4 linked regions of the Arabidopsis thaliana genome follow. The protein of the gene in region 1 interacts with the protein of each later gene in a pairwise test. Each region holds a gene or a part of one and is shown in the gene's direction. Other genes may lie near its edges. The genes, in order: KLCR2, RIP1, AT5G66720 and VAR3.

Region 1 (5,231 bases):
GAGATAGTATTTGACAAATTTGTCAAAATTATATACGTTCTGACCTAAAATTTTCGAAGAAAACAAAAACGTGTTGGTAATATAAAACGCGTAGGAATTTAGAAAACCAAATAATTTGTGAACAGATAAGATTTGATATGGGATTCGAGCGGCGAAAGAGTTAAAGAAAACAGCACCGCCCAACAGTCGTCAATGATTACAATTTGTTTTCAGTTCATAAATTAATCCAATGAATTGCTTATGAACTGACGATAAAAAAGAATTGCTTATAACTTTGTGAATAGGAAATAATAAAGTATTTGTGGTTACAGAGTTGTCTTTATGCAATATACAAAAATAAAAATCCGAAGGAAGAGACGTTGTTAGGTCTTAGAATTATGAACAAACGTGTGGGTTGTCTCTGTCTCTTGTAAGAAACCAAGTCATACATAATTTGCATATATAATATGACCGACCAACCAAATAATATAATGTTATGGGCTCTTAACAAAAACATATATAAATAGTCATTTCGTTGTGACAAGAAAAAAAAAATAAATAAAAATAATAGTCATTTCGATATTTTGTTGGTTGGCTAGTGAAAAAATTGCCTTAAGCGCATTATCGTTTTTTCACAATAAAATTGACTCATGAAATATGGGAACGAGAGTTCTATAAAAATTACATTTTGGGTAGGCCCTACACTGATGACTATAAGGGCCCATAAAGCCGTAATGGGCTTAAAGGTGGACCACATCTGGACCATAAAACCAGGCTGTCTAACTGGTATGCAGCTGTAGTCCACGTGTCATATCATTTCGTCATTAAGAAAAATTCTTACTAAATTAGTGATTCAATCCTTTAAATCCAGTGGTCCAATTTTTCTTTCCATAAAGAGTTAAAGACTATACTAAAAAAAAAACACTGCATCATTATATCAATCAAAAGGCTAAATTTTTAACTGTTCACGTTTTTAATATTACGTATATAGATTAGAGATCATGGGATGATCATTAGAGATAATTGATGATTAAGTATGACACGTGGCGGAATCTCAACGGTACTTATTATACAGCTGTGAATTTGTAGGGTTTGACGTAGACTTGTGAATTGTGATCTTTCCCCAGCATTTAATTAGCTGGCTAATTAACCTGCAAAACTCAATTTTTTTTTGTTCTAATTTAACTCATTAAATCCCTAAAAAATTGCATTTCAAGGAAACAATATTTCTTTTAGGATAAATAAGAAAAATAATTAATTCTTAACGGGCAAAACTCAAACTTTAACTTTAAAAAAACAAATTCATGAAAAAATTGCATGTGAAGGAAACAATATTTTTTAAAAGTTTTAATTAAAAAAAAGGTAATCTTGAAATGGATGAAACATTCATTTCATAGTGTTTAGTTTCCAGAAAGAATCTCGTTTTTTTCTGCTGTAATTTTTGGGGAATTATTTTTTATCTGTCGGTTTTACTTTTCCTTCTTTGAAAATTTGTAATTTTCTTTGGTTTCACAGCAAATTTTTAATCAAATTTTAGATGATAAAAAAAATGGATGAGACATTCATTATTATTTTTCAAAGAGATAAATTTATTTATAAAATTGAGGAAAAAAGATAAATTATTTAAAGAGAGAGTGCAAGTAGGGAAGAAGTCATCTTCTTTTTATTGCTTCAAGAGTCAATCATCTTCAAACCTAATGATCTTCAAAAAAATTTCTGGTTATGCATCTCTTTCTTGAAAAAATAATCATATAATCACATCAAAAAGAGTCAATTATCATCTTCATTATCTTAATATAATCAATCAATAATTCAATTTAAAAGGTAAATTAAAGTAAGCAATGTAGACCCAAAAAAAAAAGTCTGCTTTTGTTTCAAAACATATAAGGACAGTGAAAGGGTTTGTGCATAAATGTTGTTGCTTCATCTTTCTCATAACATTAGCTATGAGATTATGAAAGTGAAGATATAAAACAAACACCTAAAAGTGAAAAGTACAAGACACCAAATCCTTCATTTTCATCTCTTACACAACCACACTAAGTTACCAAAAAACAGAATCTGTTCTTTTTTTGCCTTCTTGCAGATTTCTTCAGAGTCAAAGACACATAAAGGTTCGATTTTTATCTCTTAAAATCTTCAAAGTTTTCGTTTTTCTTTTCAATTTCGTTGAATTTGATTCTGGGTTTTGTTCTCTGTTAGTAACTGAATCTATGTCAGCTTTAGATAATTCTAGTTAGGGACTTATGGTTCTCAATTTCGAGTCTTTTGATGTTATCTTGTTGTTTTAACGGATTTGAATCTAAAATCTTGGTCTCCATTGATTCAGATTTATAATTGAGTTGTGAGTTTTGGAGGCCATGGACGTAGGAGAGAGCAATGAGAGGGTAAAAGACGATTCTGCCCTTCAAGCTTCACCGAGGAGTCCTCTGAGTTCTATAGATCTTGCAATTGATGGAGCTATGAATGCTTCTATTGAGCAGTTGTATCATAACGTTTGTGAAATGGAGAGTTCTGATGATCAGTCTCCGTCCAGGGCGAGTTTTATTTCGTATGGAGCTGAATCTAGGATTGATTTGGAGTTGAGGCATTTGGTTGGAGATGTAGGAGAAGAAGGAGAGAGCAAGAAAGAGATTATCTTGGAGAAGAAGGAAGAAAGTAATGGAGAAGGTAGCTTGAGTCAGAAGAAACCTCTTTCGAATGGTAAGAAGGTTGCGAAAACGAGTCCTAATAATCCGAAGATGCCGGGTTCGAGGATCTCTTCGAGGAAATCACCGGATTTGGGGAAGGTTTCTGTTGATGAGGAGAGTCCTGAGCTTGGTGTGGTGTTGTTGAAGCAAGCCAGAGAGTTGGTTTCTTCAGGTGAGAATTTAAACAAGGCTCTTGATTTAGCGTTGAGAGCGGTGAAAGTGTTTGAGAAATGTGGGGAAGGAGAGAAACAACTTGGGTTGAATTTGGTGATGTCTTTGCATATCTTGGCAGCGATATATGCAGGGTTAGGGAGATACAATGACGCTGTGCCTGTTCTTGAACGTTCTATCGAGATACCGATGATTGAAGATGGTGAGGATCACGCGTTGGCGAAATTTGCAGGGTGTATGCAGCTTGGTGACATGTATGGTTTGATGGGTCAAGTTGAAAATTCGATTATGCTATACACCGCGGGTTTGGAGATTCAAAGACAAGTTCTTGGAGAATCGGATGCACGAGTTGGCGAAACTTGTAGGTACTTAGCGGAAGCTCATGTTCAAGCAATGCAGTTTGAAGAAGCCTCAAGGCTTTGTCAAATGGCATTGGACATTCACAAAGAAAACGGTGCTGCCGCTACAGCTTCTATTGAAGAAGCTGCGGATAGAAAACTGATGGGACTTATCTGCGATGCGAAAGGTGATTATGAAGTTGCGCTTGAGCATTATGTTTTAGCGAGCATGGCAATGTCATCTCAGAACCATAGAGAAGATGTTGCTGCTGTAGATTGCAGTATTGGTGATGCTTACATGTCGCTAGCTAGGTTTGATGAAGCGATATTCGCATACCAGAAGGCTTTAGCTGTGTTTAAGCAAGGAAAAGGTGAGACTCATTCCTCTGTTGCTTTGGTTTACGTTAGGCTTGCTGACTTGTACAACAAGATTGGGAAAACACGCGATTCCAAATCGTACTGCGAAAACGCTCTCAAGATTTACCTAAAACCGACTCCAGGAACTCCTATGGAAGAGGTTGCGACTGGTTTTATAGAGATTTCTGCGATATATCAGTCAATGAATGAACTTGATCAAGCTCTTAAGTTGTTGAGACGGGCGTTGAAGATATATGCAAACGCTCCAGGTCAACAGAACACGATTGCAGGTATTGAAGCTCAAATGGGTGTGGTTACTTATATGATGGGAAATTACTCCGAGTCCTACGACATATTCAAGAGCGCGATATCAAAGTTCCGCAATAGCGGAGAGAAAAAAACCGCTCTTTTCGGGATTGCTTTGAATCAGATGGGACTAGCTTGCGTTCAGCGTTACGCGATCAATGAAGCTGCAGATTTGTTTGAAGAAGCGAAAACTATTCTTGAGAAAGAGTGTGGACCGTACCATCCCGATACATTAGCGGTTTACAGTAACCTTGCTGGAACGTACGACGCAATGGGAAGGTAAATTTGGAACTTAAAACAATTTTCTTGCTAGGTTATGTTTTTTGGTATTTCCCTGCGGTACAAGCAATGTGTTACTTGCTTTACAGGTTAGATGATGCTATAGAGATATTGGAGTATGTTGTTGGGACAAGAGAAGAGAAGCTCGGGACGGCAAATCCCGAGGTTGAGGACGAGAAGCAGAGGCTTGCTGCGTTGTTGAAAGAAGCTGGAAGAGGAAGGAGTAAAAGAAACAGAGCACTTCTTACCCTTTTGGACAACAACCCTGAAATTGCAAATGGACAGAGACCGGTTTATTGATTAACCGGATTATTGTCCGGTCTAAAATGTATATATATACAAAATACAAGTTCGAATACGGTACTTACACGGTCGAGGGAGAAGGAAAAAAATGAAGAGGCTTTATGTTTTCTAGTTTTATAAAAAGTGAAGGAAAAAAAAAAAAATCTTGCATTTGTTTTCTTTATAAATAAAATGTAAAGAGTAAAACGCAATTGATTTGGTCGTTTTGTAATGTGATTTACATTGAAATTTTGGAGTTTAAAAATCTCCTTGATGGCAGTTTCTCTAACTTTGAGCACTGATCTTGAGTAAACAACAAGTGTTTGGTTACTAAAACATCTTGTCTGGTCTTGTCATGTAATGTTCATGAATGTCAACAAAAAACAATAACCGAATATACACATACATATGTAGCATGAGAACATAAAGAGACGACCCACCGAATCAAGAAGTTGTCACTTAGCAAAGCAACAAAAGAAAAGTTGTCACTAAGCAAAAGATAATCTGAACTAAGCGGTTTAAAATTTCTTACCAAACAAGTTACTGATTATTTGATATAGTCTTTTATATAATAACTAATATGATAAGATGTGAATAGAAACATTCTGCTTAAAGCTGCATATATTGTAACCAATGACTTTTTGAAGAAAATTTTACATTGATTCAAAAACAAAAAGAGAGATGTGAATAGAAATTTTGGCTAGTTACTTGAAAGCACCAGAAATATGCTAGACATTTATTAGTTTATATCATGGCAACTTATTTTTTCGTGAGTTTACATGCTTTTTGGGTAGGGAGAGGTGGATCCGATATCGAACCATCGAGGATT
Region 2 (4,716 bases), 5.3 Mb from region 1:
TCAGAAGTGATCAGTATATTTCCAAGGGCGTTTATTTATCTTTTTTTCAGGCCTTGTAATGTCTTGTTATTACATGGGGTTTCTTGCAGGCAACGGGTTACCCTGTTTTTATGGAGAAACTTGCGGCTACTTGTGCAACTGCTGTTGAGTCAAGAGTGCAAATTGATGGAAGAATAGTGACCAGTCGTGGACCAGGAACCACCATTGAATTCTCCATCACGCTTATAGAGCAGTTGTTTGGGAAAGAAAAAGCTGATGAAGTCTCCAGTATCTTGGTATGTTTTGTCTCTGCCTCTTTTATCAACCGCTGTGGTACGTGTTCATGTCACCTCCTCGTAGACTTACTTGTTATCCTTTTGAAATCAGCTGCTTCGTCCTAACCCTGGTGAGGAGTTTACTTTTACTGAGCTTAACCAAACAAACTGGTCATTTGAAGATACACCACAGGTAAATGTTCAGTTGCCTCTCCACTTGGCCCTTTTAACATTTTTCCAAGACAGGCTTTGTTTGATCCGTTATACAGATTCCTAGGAACATGCTGTGTTGTAAAGCTTTTGTCTTTCTTGATCAATAGTCTTTTATGAGTCAGAGAGATAATGTTTTCCCTTTTCAGATTCTCGTACCCATTGCAGAGGAGTCAGAGGAAATTGAAGCTATAGCGCTTGTAGATATCCTGAGGCGGGCAAAAGCAAATGTAGTGATTGCTGCAGTTGGTAACAGTTTGGAAGTTGAAGGATCTCGCAAAGCTAAGCTAGTAGCAGAAGTTCTTCTTGATGAGGTTGCAGAGAAGTCGTTTGATCTGATTGTGTTACCTGTGAGTATTGCTAACTTCCAAAATGTGAATATACTATTTAGTCTTAAATTAAATTTTAATATTCTATGATGACAAATAACCAAAAACATAATCCAACTTCTTTGATGAACTACAGGGCGGTCTTAACGGTGCTCAAAGATTCGCAAGCTGCGAGAAGCTAGTTAATATGTTAAGGAAACAGGCAGAAGCAAACAAACCATATGGAGGAATCTGCGCATCGCCTGCTTACGTCTTCGAGCCTAATGGTTTACTCAAGGTGCATAAATCAAACAGTACTAGAATTGTAGTTTCTTGTTCTATCTTTTAAGTCATTAAACTGAGATATAAGAGACATGTTTTGTATAGGGTAAGAAGGCTACTACTCACCCAGTGGTGAGCGACAAACTTTCGGACAAGAGTCACATTGAGCACAGAGTCGTGGTAGATGGAAATGTCATAACAAGCAGAGCTCCAGGGACTGCAATGGAGTTTTCACTTGCCATTGTCGAAAAGTTTTACGGGCGAGAGAAAGCTCTTCAGCTCGGAAAGGCAACACTTGTGTGATTTCAAACAATGAAAGTATGAGAGTGGCTTGAATAAAAAGAAGGCTTTGCCTTTTAGTTATCTCTCTCCATTAGTAATTACTTACTTTATGATATATGACATATGAGCTTGGCTTAGTGATTGGTGTGTAACTTTATGCCTTTATAAATGAATAAACGAGATTTTTCTATGTATGTTGCCGATATTTTCTTTAAACCTCTGCAAGAGCTAGAGGGTGTGCTGGAGAAAAAAATTATTTTATGGAGAAAGATATTTTAGTCACACATTTTCACCAAATTGACCTTACAATAACTCTAAAATACGAATTTGCCCCTATGTTTAGCTTTGGAATATTTCATATTTGTAAACCATTTAATAATATGATTATTACCAATTTAGTGAAAATAAAATCTTCAGTCTTCTCTTCTTGTATAAAAATAGCTTTTTTATCATTTGAAAACAGAGTAATGTCACTAATTTCTTGGCGAAAATGTGTTTATTTGTAACTTAAGGTAAAATAGGGGCAATTTTGTTGAATCTGATAAGATCAGGGGGTAGTACCGTAGATTTCGCTGTCCAGTTCAGTTATGAAATACCTAAAATGCCCTCGACTCATAATCTACTATTAAACCCTCATAAAACCCTTGATTTCATTTCTAGCTCATCTGTTTTCACACTCTCTCCTAGGGTTTTATCTGCGAAGCCCAATCTAGAGCTTCCATGGCGACGCATACCATTTCTCGATCCATTCTTTGCCGACCGGCGAAATCTCTTTCGTTTCTGTTCACGCGATCCTTTGCTTCATCTGCTCCTCTCGCCAAATCTCCGGCGTCTTCTCTGCTCAGCCGGTCCCGTCCTCTGGTCGCCGCTTTTTCCTCCGTTTTCCGTGGCGGCCTTGTGTCTGTCAAAGGTCTCTCGACGCAGGCTACATCGTCTTCTCTGAACGACCCGAATCCCAACTGGTCGAACAGGCCACCTAAGGAGACGATCCTGCTCGATGGTTGCGATTTCGAGCACTGGCTTGTCGTCGTGGAGCCACCTCAGGGTGAGCCTACTAGAGATGAAATCATTGATAGCTACATCAAAACCCTAGCTCAGATTGTTGGCAGGTAAATCCCCAATTCAAAACTCTCTCTCTCTCTCTCTCTCTCTGTGTATGTTCTTCTAGGGATTTTAGGTTAAATAAGTGAGAAATCCACTACTGTGTATGACGGATCTGTGTGTTTACTTAGATCATTTTTGGAGCTGTAACATGATATATCTCGTTTTGGACATTTCAGTGAAGACGAAGCTAGGATGAAGATCTACTCGGTTTCAACTAGGTGCTACTATGCTTTTGGGGCACTTGTGTCAGAAGATCTTTCTCACAAGTTAAAAGGTTAACTCTTGCCTTTGTTGGGTTTTAGTTTTCCTCATTTCTGTGTTATAATCTGCCTTCTAACTTTCTTCTGTAACTCTCCAGAGTTGTCAAATGTGCGCTGGGTTCTTCCTGACTCTTACCTGGATGTGAGGAACAAAGACTATGGAGGTAGGCTTAAGTGTATTATCTGTATCATAACCTGGGTTTGAAATTGGGGTAGTTGCTTTGCTCGTCCATTATACTTTTGCTGGGTTTGAAATTTTCAAGGGAAACTACCTGTTGCTAGTCTTCGCTCTGTGGACTCGTTACTTGCTCCATGCTTTTGTGTTAGATTGACACATGGGGCGACTTCTATTTATAGTTAATTAACATTGTGGGTGCATCTGTTAGATTTGATTTAGTGATATCTATTGTGAGACTGGTGTTGTAGAAGTCGCAGTGATGTTGCTTTGGTGAGAGTTTAAATCTTTCTGGTGATCCTATTAGAGAGTTAGTTTGATGCGTTTTTGTATATATTGACTTTCAGGGGAACCTTTCATCGATGGGAAGGCTGTTCCTTATGATCCTAAGTACCACGAGGAGTGGATAAGGAACAATGCTAGAGCAAATGAAAGGAACAGACGCAATGACCGTCCTCGCAACAATGATAGAAGCAGAAACTTTGAGAGGAGAAGAGAGAACATGGCAGGAGGCCCTCCTCCTCAACGTCCTCCCATGGGAGGCCCTCCTCCTCCTCCGCACATCGGTGGCTCTGCACCTCCTCCGCCTCATATGGGTGGCTCTGCACCTCCTCCACCTCACATGGGGCAGAACTATGGACCACCACCACCAAACAACATGGGAGGACCAAGGCATCCACCACCTTATGGAGCACCACCGCAAAACAACATGGGAGGACCGAGGCCACCTCAGAACTATGGAGGAACACCACCTCCCAACTATGGAGGAGCACCACCAGCAAACAACATGGGAGGAGCACCACCACCAAACTATGGAGGAGGACCACCACCTCAATATGGAGCAGTACCACCACCTCAATACGGAGGAGCACCCCCACAGAACAACAACTACCAGCAGCAGGGTAGTGGAATGCAGCAGCCACAGTACCAGAACAACTACCCACCTAACCGGGATGGCAGTGGCAACCCCTACCAGGGTTAAAGCAGTTGAAGCAGTCGTGGGTTTCCTTTTTAATCATGCATTCTGGGCTGTGTATAGATAATTTGAGGAAGAGAGAGTGCAGTAGCAAGACTTTAAAACTCCTTTTATCTCGAGTGTTTATCAGTCTGGGATTATGTGAGAGAGAATAGCCTAAGTTACTGTGGCATGGTTAGAACTTTTCACTCTTGCGTTTCTTTTTAGTAGTTTATATCCTAAATCGATCTCAAGTTCTTCCTTGTGATGCTTGCTACTCTTATGTCCACTCCTGGTTCTGCATTAAACGGGATTTAGTAACATGTCTCCCACAGGCTATTGTTTTGTGTCTTTCTTTGGCTTCTTCCTAGTCTTAATTTCTAATTCCCCAATCATGTTTACATGGGAATGGGATACTCATATTATAACAGGAAGAATGACAAATGTCATCAATATCATATTTCTTTCGACAAACTTGACAGAACACACAATTTGATGATGAGAGAGAGAAGCGGGTGTGAAGTAACAAGATGGGCTTTGTGTTCTTTATCCCGGCCCATCATTCTAAATTTCAGCCCAAAATGGAAAATCTCGTAACCGTATAAAGCCCTCGCTTCCCTCATATGTTTTTCCGCCGTCACATATTTTCCCCTCTTTTTTTTCGTGTCAGATTCGCTTTCTCTACGGCTGGACTAGAAGGATTAGGGATTTACCGGTGAAAGAATAACTCCAGAGATAAATCTGTAACCATGGATATGATGAAGAAGCGTAAGCTCGATGAGAACGGTAACGGACTCAATACCAACGGTGGCGGAACCATTGGTCCAACTCGATTGTCGCCGCAAGACGCGAGGAAGATTATCGAGCGATTCACCACTGATCAGCT
Region 3 (4,569 bases), on another chromosome or scaffold:
AATTTATCAATTCTCTAACCGAAACAAGAACTCTTTAAAATAATCCAACTGTAAACTGGTCGGTGAACTTGGAGTTTAGTTGGTTTTGTCTGTAGCGCCGTTATATTTCTGATGTCTGCTAAAAAACTGAATCGTGTTCGTCGTCTTCCATAGCTAAGCCTATAATGTATCCATTAATTATAATTAAAGCCTCAAAGTTTATGTCCATGACTCATCATCTCTTTTTGTTTGTAGAATCTCAAGAAAACAACAATCATCCTGAAGTCATTATTGAGGAAGCTTCAAGAACGATCGGGTTCAATGTTAGCTCATCGGATCTAAGCAATGATCACAGTAACAACAATGGTGGATACGCAGGTTTGTTTGTATCATCAACAGCTTCGCCTAGTTTATATGCTTCCTCAACCGCTTCTCCAAGTCTATTCGCACCATCGTCCTCCATGGAACCCATCTCTCTCTGTCTCTCGACGAACCCTTCTTTGTTCGGACCAACAATACGAGATCCGCCACATTTCCTAACTCCTCTCCCTCCTCAACCGGCAATGTCAGCTACTGCATTGCTCCAAAAAGCTGCACAAATGGGTTCCACGGGATCAGGAGGTTCGTTGCTTCGCGGGTTAGGCATAGTTTCAACTACTTCTTCATCTATGGAACTCAGCAATCATGATGCATTGTCATTAGCTCCTGGTCTTGGACTTGGACTACCTTGTAGCAGCGGTGGTAGCGGATCGGGTCTAAAAGAGCTCATGATGGGGAATTCATCGGTGTTTGGTCCGAAACAGACGACACTAGACTTTCTTGGATTAGGAAGAGCTGTTGGTAATGGTGGTAATACCGGAGGTGGATTGTCTGCTCTGTTAACTTCTATAGGTGGTGGAGGTGGAATCGATCTGTTTGGATCAGGGGAGTTTTCAGGCAAAGACATTGGAAGAAGTTCGTAAGAGAGACAAAAGGCATGAACGTAGTAGACCAGTGTAGTATATAGTTCATCAAGTTTGTTTCAGGTTTTAGATGTTTTGGTATCTTGTTTTAGTGAAAGCTTTAGTTTTATTCCCAAGTGGGTTTTCTCTCAAGTACATAAATCTCCTAGCAACAACAACAAAATATATTGTTTTTTTTTTGGTGTGTGGTTTATTATAACTCACATGTTGTACTTTGAGAGATAATTTGAACTCGGGTTGTGACATGACAGCTAAATTATTACAGATGGTTACAAATCTTGGTCTAGTTCTGATGGAAGTCTCTACCATGTGAAAACAATCAATGGGGTTTGAAGTTTCTATTATTGGGTGTTGCTTGCTGTCTTAAAACGCTGAATCGAATTTTTGCATTAATGGGAACAATTCGTAGATGAGATTGAATTGACTTCTCCCAAAAGTGATAAATTTTTTGGAAGGTGGTGATATTTGTCTAAAAACTTGCAGAACTAAAAATAGTCTCAATTTGGCCAGATAATTTGAGACTTGACCAGTGTGATTTGATTGGAGAATCGACCAAAGATTTTGGATTTTGATGTTTCAATCGCTACGTAGGTCCATTATAGTGATAGAATTATCATGACAATTCAACCCACAAAGGCACTATTTTGTATTTTATTTTGGAGAGCAAGATAATTTATTTACCCACATCATATTTACTGTATTACAAAATCGGAAGTTTAACAGAAATCAGTAACTATGATTAGTGTGACTTTATCATTTGATCAATATTGATATGCTTGGACTCGAGCAATGATCGTGTAGTTTTCAATATTAAGAAAATAAAATTGGTTGTGTACAGTAAGCAAGAAGAGAGAAGCCTATTGGGGTTGATTGTGAAATGTTTCTTTCTTAATAGGCCATTGATATTTTAAGCTCATTAGTCATTATGCTGAAGACTACTCAAGTCCACAAGCTTAATACTATTGGGCCTTAAATGTCAAGTCCAAGACCATTAAATTATTATCTCTTAGTATTTTTTAATTTCGCTGAGAAATTTCAGACATCGAAAACTGAACACGAAGAAACAAGTTAAGTTTCCGATTTTGCCCTCATCGGCTAATGAGTTTTACGGAGGAGCTCGCAGCTGCAGGTAGGTAGCGGAAACAAGAGATCTTTATATATTCCTTCCTCTCTTCTCTAACCTAATTCCGGCGAAGAAGAAGACGGAAAAAGCCCTGACTAGTGAAGAATCCGGTAATAGTTTATCTCTTATCTCAAGTATTTGAAGTGGGTAATGATTAAGGGCTCGTTTTATAGTCTGTTGATTTTGGTGTAGCTTTGTTCAGTTTTGGTAAAAATCTTTCCTTTTATTGATTATTATTGATTCAGATGTCAGCGACTGCTCTCTCGAGATTAAACCCAGTTTCTCAATTTGGGTTTCAAAGAATCGTTGCTGGGAAAAGTAAGAGCTTCTTCTCCAATTCGGGTCAAAGGAGATTGTTTTCTGATAGTTCTCGGTTTCGTCAAGCCATGGCTGCTTCTGGTTCTTTGCCAGTGTTTGGAGACGCTTGTTTGGATGATTTGGTTACTACTTGTTCAAATGGCTTAGACTTCACTAAGAAGCGTTCTAGTGGTGGTAGCTTCACTATTAATTGTCCTGTAGCTAGCATGAGACTTGGGAAGAGAGGGGGAATGATGAAGAACCGATTGGTTTGTCACTATTCTGTTGTTGATCCGCTAGAAAAGAGTCGTGCACTCTTTGGGACATTGTCTAAGAGTGTTCATACTTCTCCTATGGCTTGTTTCTCGGTTGGACCGGCTCATGAGCTGTCTTCTCTTAACGGTGGTTCTCAAGAGTCACCACCAACTACTACTACATCTCTTAAGTAAGTTCTTTTACACTTTCTTAATCTTTTTGTTACCAATTGGTTTCAATGTTTTGATATTTTGAGTAGGAGTCTTAGGCTAGTGTCGGGGTCATGTTATCTCCCGCATCCTGAAAAGGAAGCTACAGGTGGAGAAGACGCTCACTTTATCTGCGATGAAGAACAAGCTATTGGAGTTGCAGATGGAGTTGGCGGTTGGGCTGAGGTTGGTGTTAATGCGGGACTGTTTTCGCGTGAGCTTATGTCTTATTCAGTATCTGCAATTCAAGAACAGCATAAAGGTTCTTCTATCGACCCTTTAGTGGTGTTAGAGAAAGCACATTCTCAAACCAAAGCCAAAGGCTCCTCCACGGCTTGTATCATCGTTTTAAAAGATAAGGTTAGTTAGCTCACAGAGTTTTGTTTGTGAATGAACAACAACTGTATTTCTTAGAACCGTCTGTTGAAGAGTGTTTGTTCTCCTTGTGCAAGGGATTACACGCCATTAATCTCGGAGACAGTGGATTCACGGTGGTTAGAGAGGGAACCACGGTGTTTCAGTCTCCGGTTCAGCAGCATGGATTCAACTTCACTTATCAATTAGAGAGTGGGAACAGTGCCGACGTCCCTAGCTCCGGTCAGGTCAGTTTCAAAGGCGTATTCTTCCTATTATCAAAGCTTAATAAGACCATTTTGAATACACTTTTCAGTTGTGGTTCGGGTTATACGGATTGAATTGAACACGCTGGTGTGGTTATATGAATCAGGTATTCACAATTGATGTTCAGTCTGGAGATGTCATTGTCGCTGGAACAGATGGAGTGTATGATAATTTATACAATGAAGAGATCACAGGAGTGGTGGTTAGCTCGGTGAGGGCCGGTTTAGACCCGAAAGGCACAGCTCAGAAGATTGCAGAGTTGGCACGTCAAAGAGCAGTCGACAAAAAACGGCAGAGCCCTTTCGCAACTGCGGCTCAGGAGGCTGGCTACAGGTATTACGGAGGAAAGCTTGATGACATCACTGCCGTCGTTTCTTACGTCACCTCATCTTAAGAGACCAAATTGATGATCTTCTGTTTAAACGGTCCAATCCCGCCAAAATCTGACGATACCTTTTCTTTTATTTTTTGTTGTGTTTTTTTGAAAAACTTGTTACGGTATTAAAAGTCCTCAGGAGGTCATTAAATGTGTATTTTTCACGGAATCAAAATATAGTTTAGCTAAGTTATGAAACGTGAATCTAATTGTGTTTACTTAGGTGAAAAAACACGATAGAATAATCATGGTTCATAGAGTAAATTATATGATGATTCTATTATTTATACCACATATTCTTCGATTCCGTACACTAATTAGTTTGGCATACTATTTTTCAACATAAATTGTTGAAATACCAAACAAAAAAGAACAAAGCACAAAGCCTAACCATTTTTTCTTTCGTTTTACTCTGTCGAGTTCGTATTGCTATACCTTTTATCTTTTACCAGAGAGTTTCTACTTCCATCACTTGGACATACAACTTTTGAAGATCTTGAGAAAAGGGACGATCATATTCATCAGTTTATTCGTCTTCTTCTTCAGCTTCTTCGTCTTGCTCATCTTTAGTCCGGGACAATCACAGACAACACGTTCTTGAACCAGACTGCTTGTTGAATCCTCGGTAGCTATATTGGCTTTGCTATTGGATGAAGTAGCATCAGTGTCTGAGCTTAAGCTTCTGAGCAAGTTTGTTAGTGAATATGTAATTTCTTTAAACTCAGGACGAGCGTCAGGATTCTCTGC
Region 4 (5,227 bases), on another chromosome or scaffold:
GGATCATGTTCGTCATTTGATAAAGTCGTCGGTGAATTTTACGAAATGGTTAGTGGTTATTGATCATTGTTTAACCACAATTTCTAACACTCTCACTTGTACGATTAAAGTTAATGGAATTGTGTTTTTCTTATCCTTTTAAAATTTGAGACAATCTTTCAATAGACCCAGAAAACAAAAGGTGGCGAGAAAAGGTAACTTCGAAACTCCAAGCGCTAAAATAATGTTCGGATAATCATGATTCATGAGATAAGTCACACTAATTACATTAACATAGAAAAAGTTTCTTTAAAACTTCTTGATTAGTTTTAAAGAAGACACTTTAACTAATTTGAGGAATTTAGGGCTTTATCTCATGATGTAATGACATAAAGTCTCTTTATTAAAATTGAATTTTAATTACAAATCATGTCAAAGTTGTTAGCCCGTCCATTGCACTTGTGGCATAGAACTAAACATGTCACATCAAAGTATAAATAGTAATTAATTATGATAAAATACATTTCTAGGGGAATTAATGAGGTTATACCTTACGGACTTAGATTGAAGTCATTATCAAGGCAGTTAATTGTCTACGTACTCACCAATATTTTACTCCACATAGATCTAAACAAAGAAATTAGTTATTACATTATAAATAGCTTAGTGTATGTAAAAGTGTTAATCAGAATAAACATTAGTCAAAAGTTGACGGCAGTGATCGGCAACTAATCCACACCCAACTTTAACTCACAGTGACTCCCACGTTCAAGAGAACACAAATATTATTCTCTCCTTTTTAGTTCCACTGATGTTTTAATTTTCGTTTCTTTCGTTTATATAAAACTATATTCATAACGTATTATTTTTTAGTTAATTTTTATTTCTTAGGTTTTATTATATATTGTAATTGTATAAGTTCTGAAACCAAGAAGTACTAATACATAATAAATATAACTATTTTAGATCCTTGACATAGCTTTTTTCTATAGTATATGTAAAAATAGTCTATATCATCTATTATTTTCGAAAGTTGTAAGTTGTAACATATAAACTTATTAATTTAAGAAAAACAAAAGTTAGAAATTAAATAACGTATGTGAATTGAAATCTCTAAACAAGTAAACATCACTTATTACGAACATATGTAGAAGTATAACTATAATCGAGGTTTGTTAAGTAAGTGAAAATTCAATAACGGAGAAATGTATGACTATAAATCTTTTAAAGTTATAGCGGCTTTAAGTCAAAAGAAATGTATGCATGCGTATGACATTGTACAATGTACACTTCAACTTTTCAAGTCACGAAAATTGATGTCAAATCGACGTGCAATTTGATAAATACCGAATCTGCAAACTCCTTTTTATATTGTATAAACTGAAGATTTCAACATAAAACTTACGCTTATCTTTAAAACATCTCTTAGATTAGATTACTATCAGTTCGTTACTTGGGTTAATTCCATTATTAGTACGAAACCATTTACTTTTTCTTTAAGAGACATCCCATTTGAATGAAATACATTATTTACCAAAGTTACCAAACATTCATAATGGCAAGCCCAAGTAGTAGCACACAGAATTATGGGCCTATGTTAGCCAATATGGGCTTATTTTTTTCTTCATTTTGCAATTATTTTGCGATTTATTAATCCTTTTTTTTTCCTTAAACATCACTGAAATAATTCTCGCCGGTAAAAATAAAACCAGTGACGACGAGCAACGATGAACAACTCCACCAGACTCATCTCCCTCTTCTCTCCTCATCCTCCTCCTCTCTTTCTACTCCGTGGTCTCTACATCAGCCGCATAGCCAATCTCCGCCGTTTCCACCGCCGTGCGTTTCCTCCTTCGTCCGTTGCCTCAACCAATCTATGTTCTTTCCGTCCACTCGTGTCATTGCCGCCGCTTATCCCCACGTTTCCTATAGGACGATTCTACAATCACCAAGTCCGTGTCTCCGCCGCAGATTTTGTTCCTTCTTATCACAACCAGCAGCTACCTGAATGGACAGAGCTACTCCAATCTCTCTCCAAAGCTGGTTACTTCTCAGATTCCGGTTCGATTTCTGGTTTAGAAAGTGAATTCTTTCCCGGTTTTCCTGATGAACTTCTCCGTCCAGCTCTTGCTTGCTTAGCTCTAGCTCGTGAACGACCAGAACTGCTTGAGTAAGTAATCTGCAATTTTTTCTCTTTCTCTTTTTGGATTGATTCTCAATCTGAATATCTGATGATGTTAGTGTTTATTAGAATGCTTTCGAGGAGAGACGTTGAAGTGCTGGTGGAGAATGGAAAGCCATTTTTATTCAAGACAGGTCCAGATTCACTTAAAAGGATGAGCCTTTACCTAAGAAGTGGTCTTCAGGGCATTGGTAAGGTAAGTTCTATCTTCTGGCAAATGCTTAGTCTTTTATTGGTGAATGCTAGGTTATGTCTAAACTTGGTTCAATGGTGATTTGTGCCTCAAAGTTATGATCTTTTGTGTTTTACATTAGTTGATGGATATGGAGAAGGCGAGTACAGTTGATTTGATGAGGCTTATTTTGAGTTATGTTGTGGATGTTGCTTCTTCTGAGGAGAGCAAACAACATAACAAAGAGATTATGGAGTCATCGGTTCGAAGCCTCTTGAGTCAGATAGCGAAGATGAGCTTGCGTCCTCCTGAGTCGAATGTTCATGACACGATGCAAAATCAGTACTCAGATAGAGATGGACAAGGAGTCAGGTCTTTTCAGAATAACGTTGAGATGAAACGTGGTGACTGGATTTGCTCGAGGTATGAATTTGTTGGATTCTCAGTAGCTTTTTGGTGTAAATCTCCTATGGCCTTTTGGTTACCATTCTTCTATGGAAAGATATAAGTAGGCCTAGATATAAGGATACCATAAAAAAAAATCTTCTGGATCTGAGCTTGAACAAGTATACTTCTGACTATTACACTAGTATTGTGGTCGAAAGATCTTATTTTTAGAGCTAAGAAGTCAGTATGGTGTAATTGTCTTTGTTTCATCATCTTGTCGTTTAGGGAATCTATATATATGATGTGGGAATTTGTTGAAACAGGTGCAGTGGCATGAACTTTGCGAGAAATGTCAAATGCTTCCAGTGTGATGAAGCAAGACCAAAGAGACAGCTTACTGGTAGTGAATGGGAGTGTCCTCAGTAAGAAACTGATTTTTTCTCTCTGCTACTTTATGACTAATGCGATGAGGAATGATGAGGTTAACCTTTCCTTTCTTTCTTGGTTGTTTCACTTATCAGATGTGATTTCTATAATTACGGGAGGAATGTAGCTTGCTTAAGATGTGACTGCAAGCGACCCAGGGACTCTTCACTCAATTCAGCCAACTCTGATTATTCAAGTGACCCTGAACTTGAGAGAAGACTGGTCGAAAACGAAAAGAAAGCACAGAGGTGGCTTAGTAAAGTAGCACAGGGTGGTTCTGATGCGAACAGTGTTGATACAGATGAAGATTTCCCAGAGATTATGCCTTTGAGGAAAGGAGTGAATAGATATGTTGTTAGCACGAGGAAGCCACCTCTTGAGAGAAGGTTGGCTAATACTGAGAACAGAGTAGCTACAGATGGAAACTCGAAAAGGAGCGACGATAATGCTTTGGGAAGTAAAACAACTAGGAGCTTGAATGAGATTCTTGGTTCTTCATCCTCTTTGACTTCTCGTTCTGATGACAAGAATGTATCTTCCAGAAGGTTTGAATCTTCTCAGGGAATAAACACCGATTTTGTTCCTTTCGTGCCATTACCTTCGGATATGTTTGCCAAGAAACCTAAGGAGGAAACACAGATAGGTCTGATTGACAACATCCAAGTGGATGGTTTCTCAGGCGGCAATCAAAATGTCTATCAAGAGGACAAGTCAGATGCAAATCACTCTGGCAAAGAAACAGATCGCCTTGAAAAGGAAGATCACAAATCAGAGGAACCTGCGAGGTGGTTCAAACGGGTCACCGAACTGCACAATGTTTCAGACTTGGAAAGCGCAATACCGCAAGAGATTTCTCCTGAGAAAATGCCTATGCGAAAAGGAGAGAATCGGTTTGTAGTGAGTAGGAAGAAAGACCGTTCACTGACTTCTCCAGCATACAAGAGGCCAGAAGATTCAGACTTTGTCCCCTTTGTCCCTTTCCCACCTGACTACTTCGCCAAAGAGAAACAACCCAAGGAATCAATAGATACTCTTCCAGCTCCGGCGACAGAAAACGTTTCTCAGGTAGTACAACAAGAACCAAGAGAACCTTCAATCAACAAATCTGATACAGTGGCAGTGAAGATCAGAAATGGAAAGAGCTTGGAGGGTTCGTTAGTGAAGGAGTCAGACTTGTTGGACATGTCAGAGGAAGCAAAAGCAGAGAGATGGTTTAAGAGAGTGGCTGAGATTAAGAACATATCAGAGCTGAGTGAGATCCCAGACGAAGATTTCCCGTCGATAATGCCGATGAGGAAAGGAGTGAATAGGTTTGTTGTCAGCAAGAGGAAAACTCCCTTGGAACGGCGTTTAACTTCTCAACGACACCAGAGAAATCCTCATATCACCAACTCTGATCCCACTGGTAAAGGAGATAAATGACCATGTAGCATAACATTTTTTCGGAGTAATATTACCATACGATTTTTGTATTTCTTTAATTCAACTTCTATATACACAATGTGTAGAAACTTTATTCTCCATCTTTACCGACGGCATCCTTTAGAAGTCGCTGTGTTTCTTCTCTCCTCCTGCACACAACAAAATCAACATTGCTATAATACATCAAACGTTACCACAACAAGCTTTTGAAGAATCTTGGATGGATGATACTGATACCATTAATATAATAAAGTTAATGCACACAAACATCTTAATGTCCTTCACAGCTTGCTTTCGCTGTTGAATTTGAAGTTCCATAATGTGAATAAGCTTTGGTCTCGCCTTGATTAAAAGAAACAACACAAATATATATACAGACAGAATGTTGTGAATATAAACGTAACACAAAGTGATGAAACATGTTGTGAATGAAAAGAGATCGTTACTTGGTGAGGCAGTAAAGAATTGAGAAAGTAATGCAAAATATTAAAGATTGAAGATATATCAGCAAGCTCCAAAAGGAGAGTTATAAGCAAAACCGAAAACACGTCGTTAGAGGCAAGATTTAGAACGAGAGGCAAGATTTAGAACGACGTCGTTTATGATATCTGCGGGTAAATCAGGCTCCCCTATTTTGGGCCTGGGAAAGCCTTCGGGCC

The links.
Region 2: the proteins of KLCR2 (region 1) and RIP1 interact in a two-hybrid assay, tested with the Arabidopsis thaliana proteins (one large-scale study listed by BioGRID).
Region 3: the proteins of KLCR2 (region 1) and AT5G66720 interact in a two-hybrid assay, tested with the Arabidopsis thaliana proteins (one large-scale study listed by BioGRID).
Region 4: the proteins of KLCR2 (region 1) and VAR3 interact in a two-hybrid assay, tested with the Arabidopsis thaliana proteins (one large-scale study listed by BioGRID).

Annotation. Positions count from the first base shown.
Region 1 is NC_003074.8:10,379,702-10,384,932, reverse strand, and holds KLCR2 (Tetratricopeptide repeat (TPR)-like superfamily protein), read left to right. Parts: upstream 1-1,683; 5' UTR 1,684-2,093; intron 2,094-2,274; exon of another isoform or gene 2,275-2,308; 5' UTR 2,309-2,339; coding exon 2,340-4,120; coding exon of another isoform or gene 4,121-4,124; exon of another isoform or gene 4,125-4,209; coding exon 4,210-4,420; 3' UTR 4,421-4,703; downstream 4,704-5,231. Other genes in the region: AT3G27950 (GDSL-like Lipase/Acylhydrolase superfamily protein), read right to left, coding at 5,162-5,231.
Region 2 is NC_003074.8:5,048,265-5,052,980, forward strand, and holds RIP1 (cobalt ion binding protein), read left to right. Parts: upstream 1-1,930; 5' UTR 1,931-2,056; coding exon 2,057-2,445; intron 2,446-2,616; coding exon 2,617-2,714; intron 2,715-2,798; coding exon 2,799-2,864; intron 2,865-3,222; coding exon 3,223-3,857; 3' UTR 3,858-4,191; downstream 4,192-4,716. Other genes in the region: DJ1A (Class I glutamine amidotransferase-like superfamily protein), read left to right, coding at 90-275, 367-447, 614-814, 930-1,070, 1,160-1,357; AT3G15010 (RNA-binding (RRM/RBD/RNP motifs) family protein), read left to right, coding at 4,580-4,716. UniProt on the Arabidopsis thaliana protein: Involved in organellar RNA editing. Required for the processing of numerous RNA editing sites in mitochondria and plastids. Binds to the plastid RARE1 factor, a pentatricopeptide repeat-containing protein involved in RNA editing.
Region 3 is NC_003076.8:26,638,286-26,642,854, reverse strand, and holds AT5G66720 (Protein phosphatase 2C family protein), read left to right. Parts: upstream 1-1,942; 5' UTR 1,943-2,174; intron 2,175-2,309; coding exon 2,310-2,806; intron 2,807-2,875; coding exon 2,876-3,185; intron 3,186-3,277; coding exon 3,278-3,427; intron 3,428-3,552; coding exon 3,553-3,840; 3' UTR 3,841-4,065; downstream 4,066-4,569. Other genes in the region: IDD1 (C2H2-like zinc finger protein), read left to right, coding at 235-941; AT5G66710 (Protein kinase superfamily protein), read right to left, coding at 4,291-4,569.
Region 4 is NC_003076.8:5,869,151-5,874,377, reverse strand, and holds VAR3 (zinc finger (Ran-binding) family protein), read left to right. Parts: upstream 1-1,595; 5' UTR 1,596-1,706; coding exon 1,707-2,149; intron 2,150-2,230; coding exon 2,231-2,357; intron 2,358-2,475; coding exon 2,476-2,756; intron 2,757-3,043; coding exon 3,044-3,142; intron 3,143-3,241; coding exon 3,242-4,568; 3' UTR 4,569-4,682; downstream 4,683-5,227. UniProt on the Arabidopsis thaliana protein: Probable component of some protein complex required for chloroplast and palisade cell development. Involved in C-to-U editing of chloroplastic RNA. Controls a large number of chloroplastic editing sites.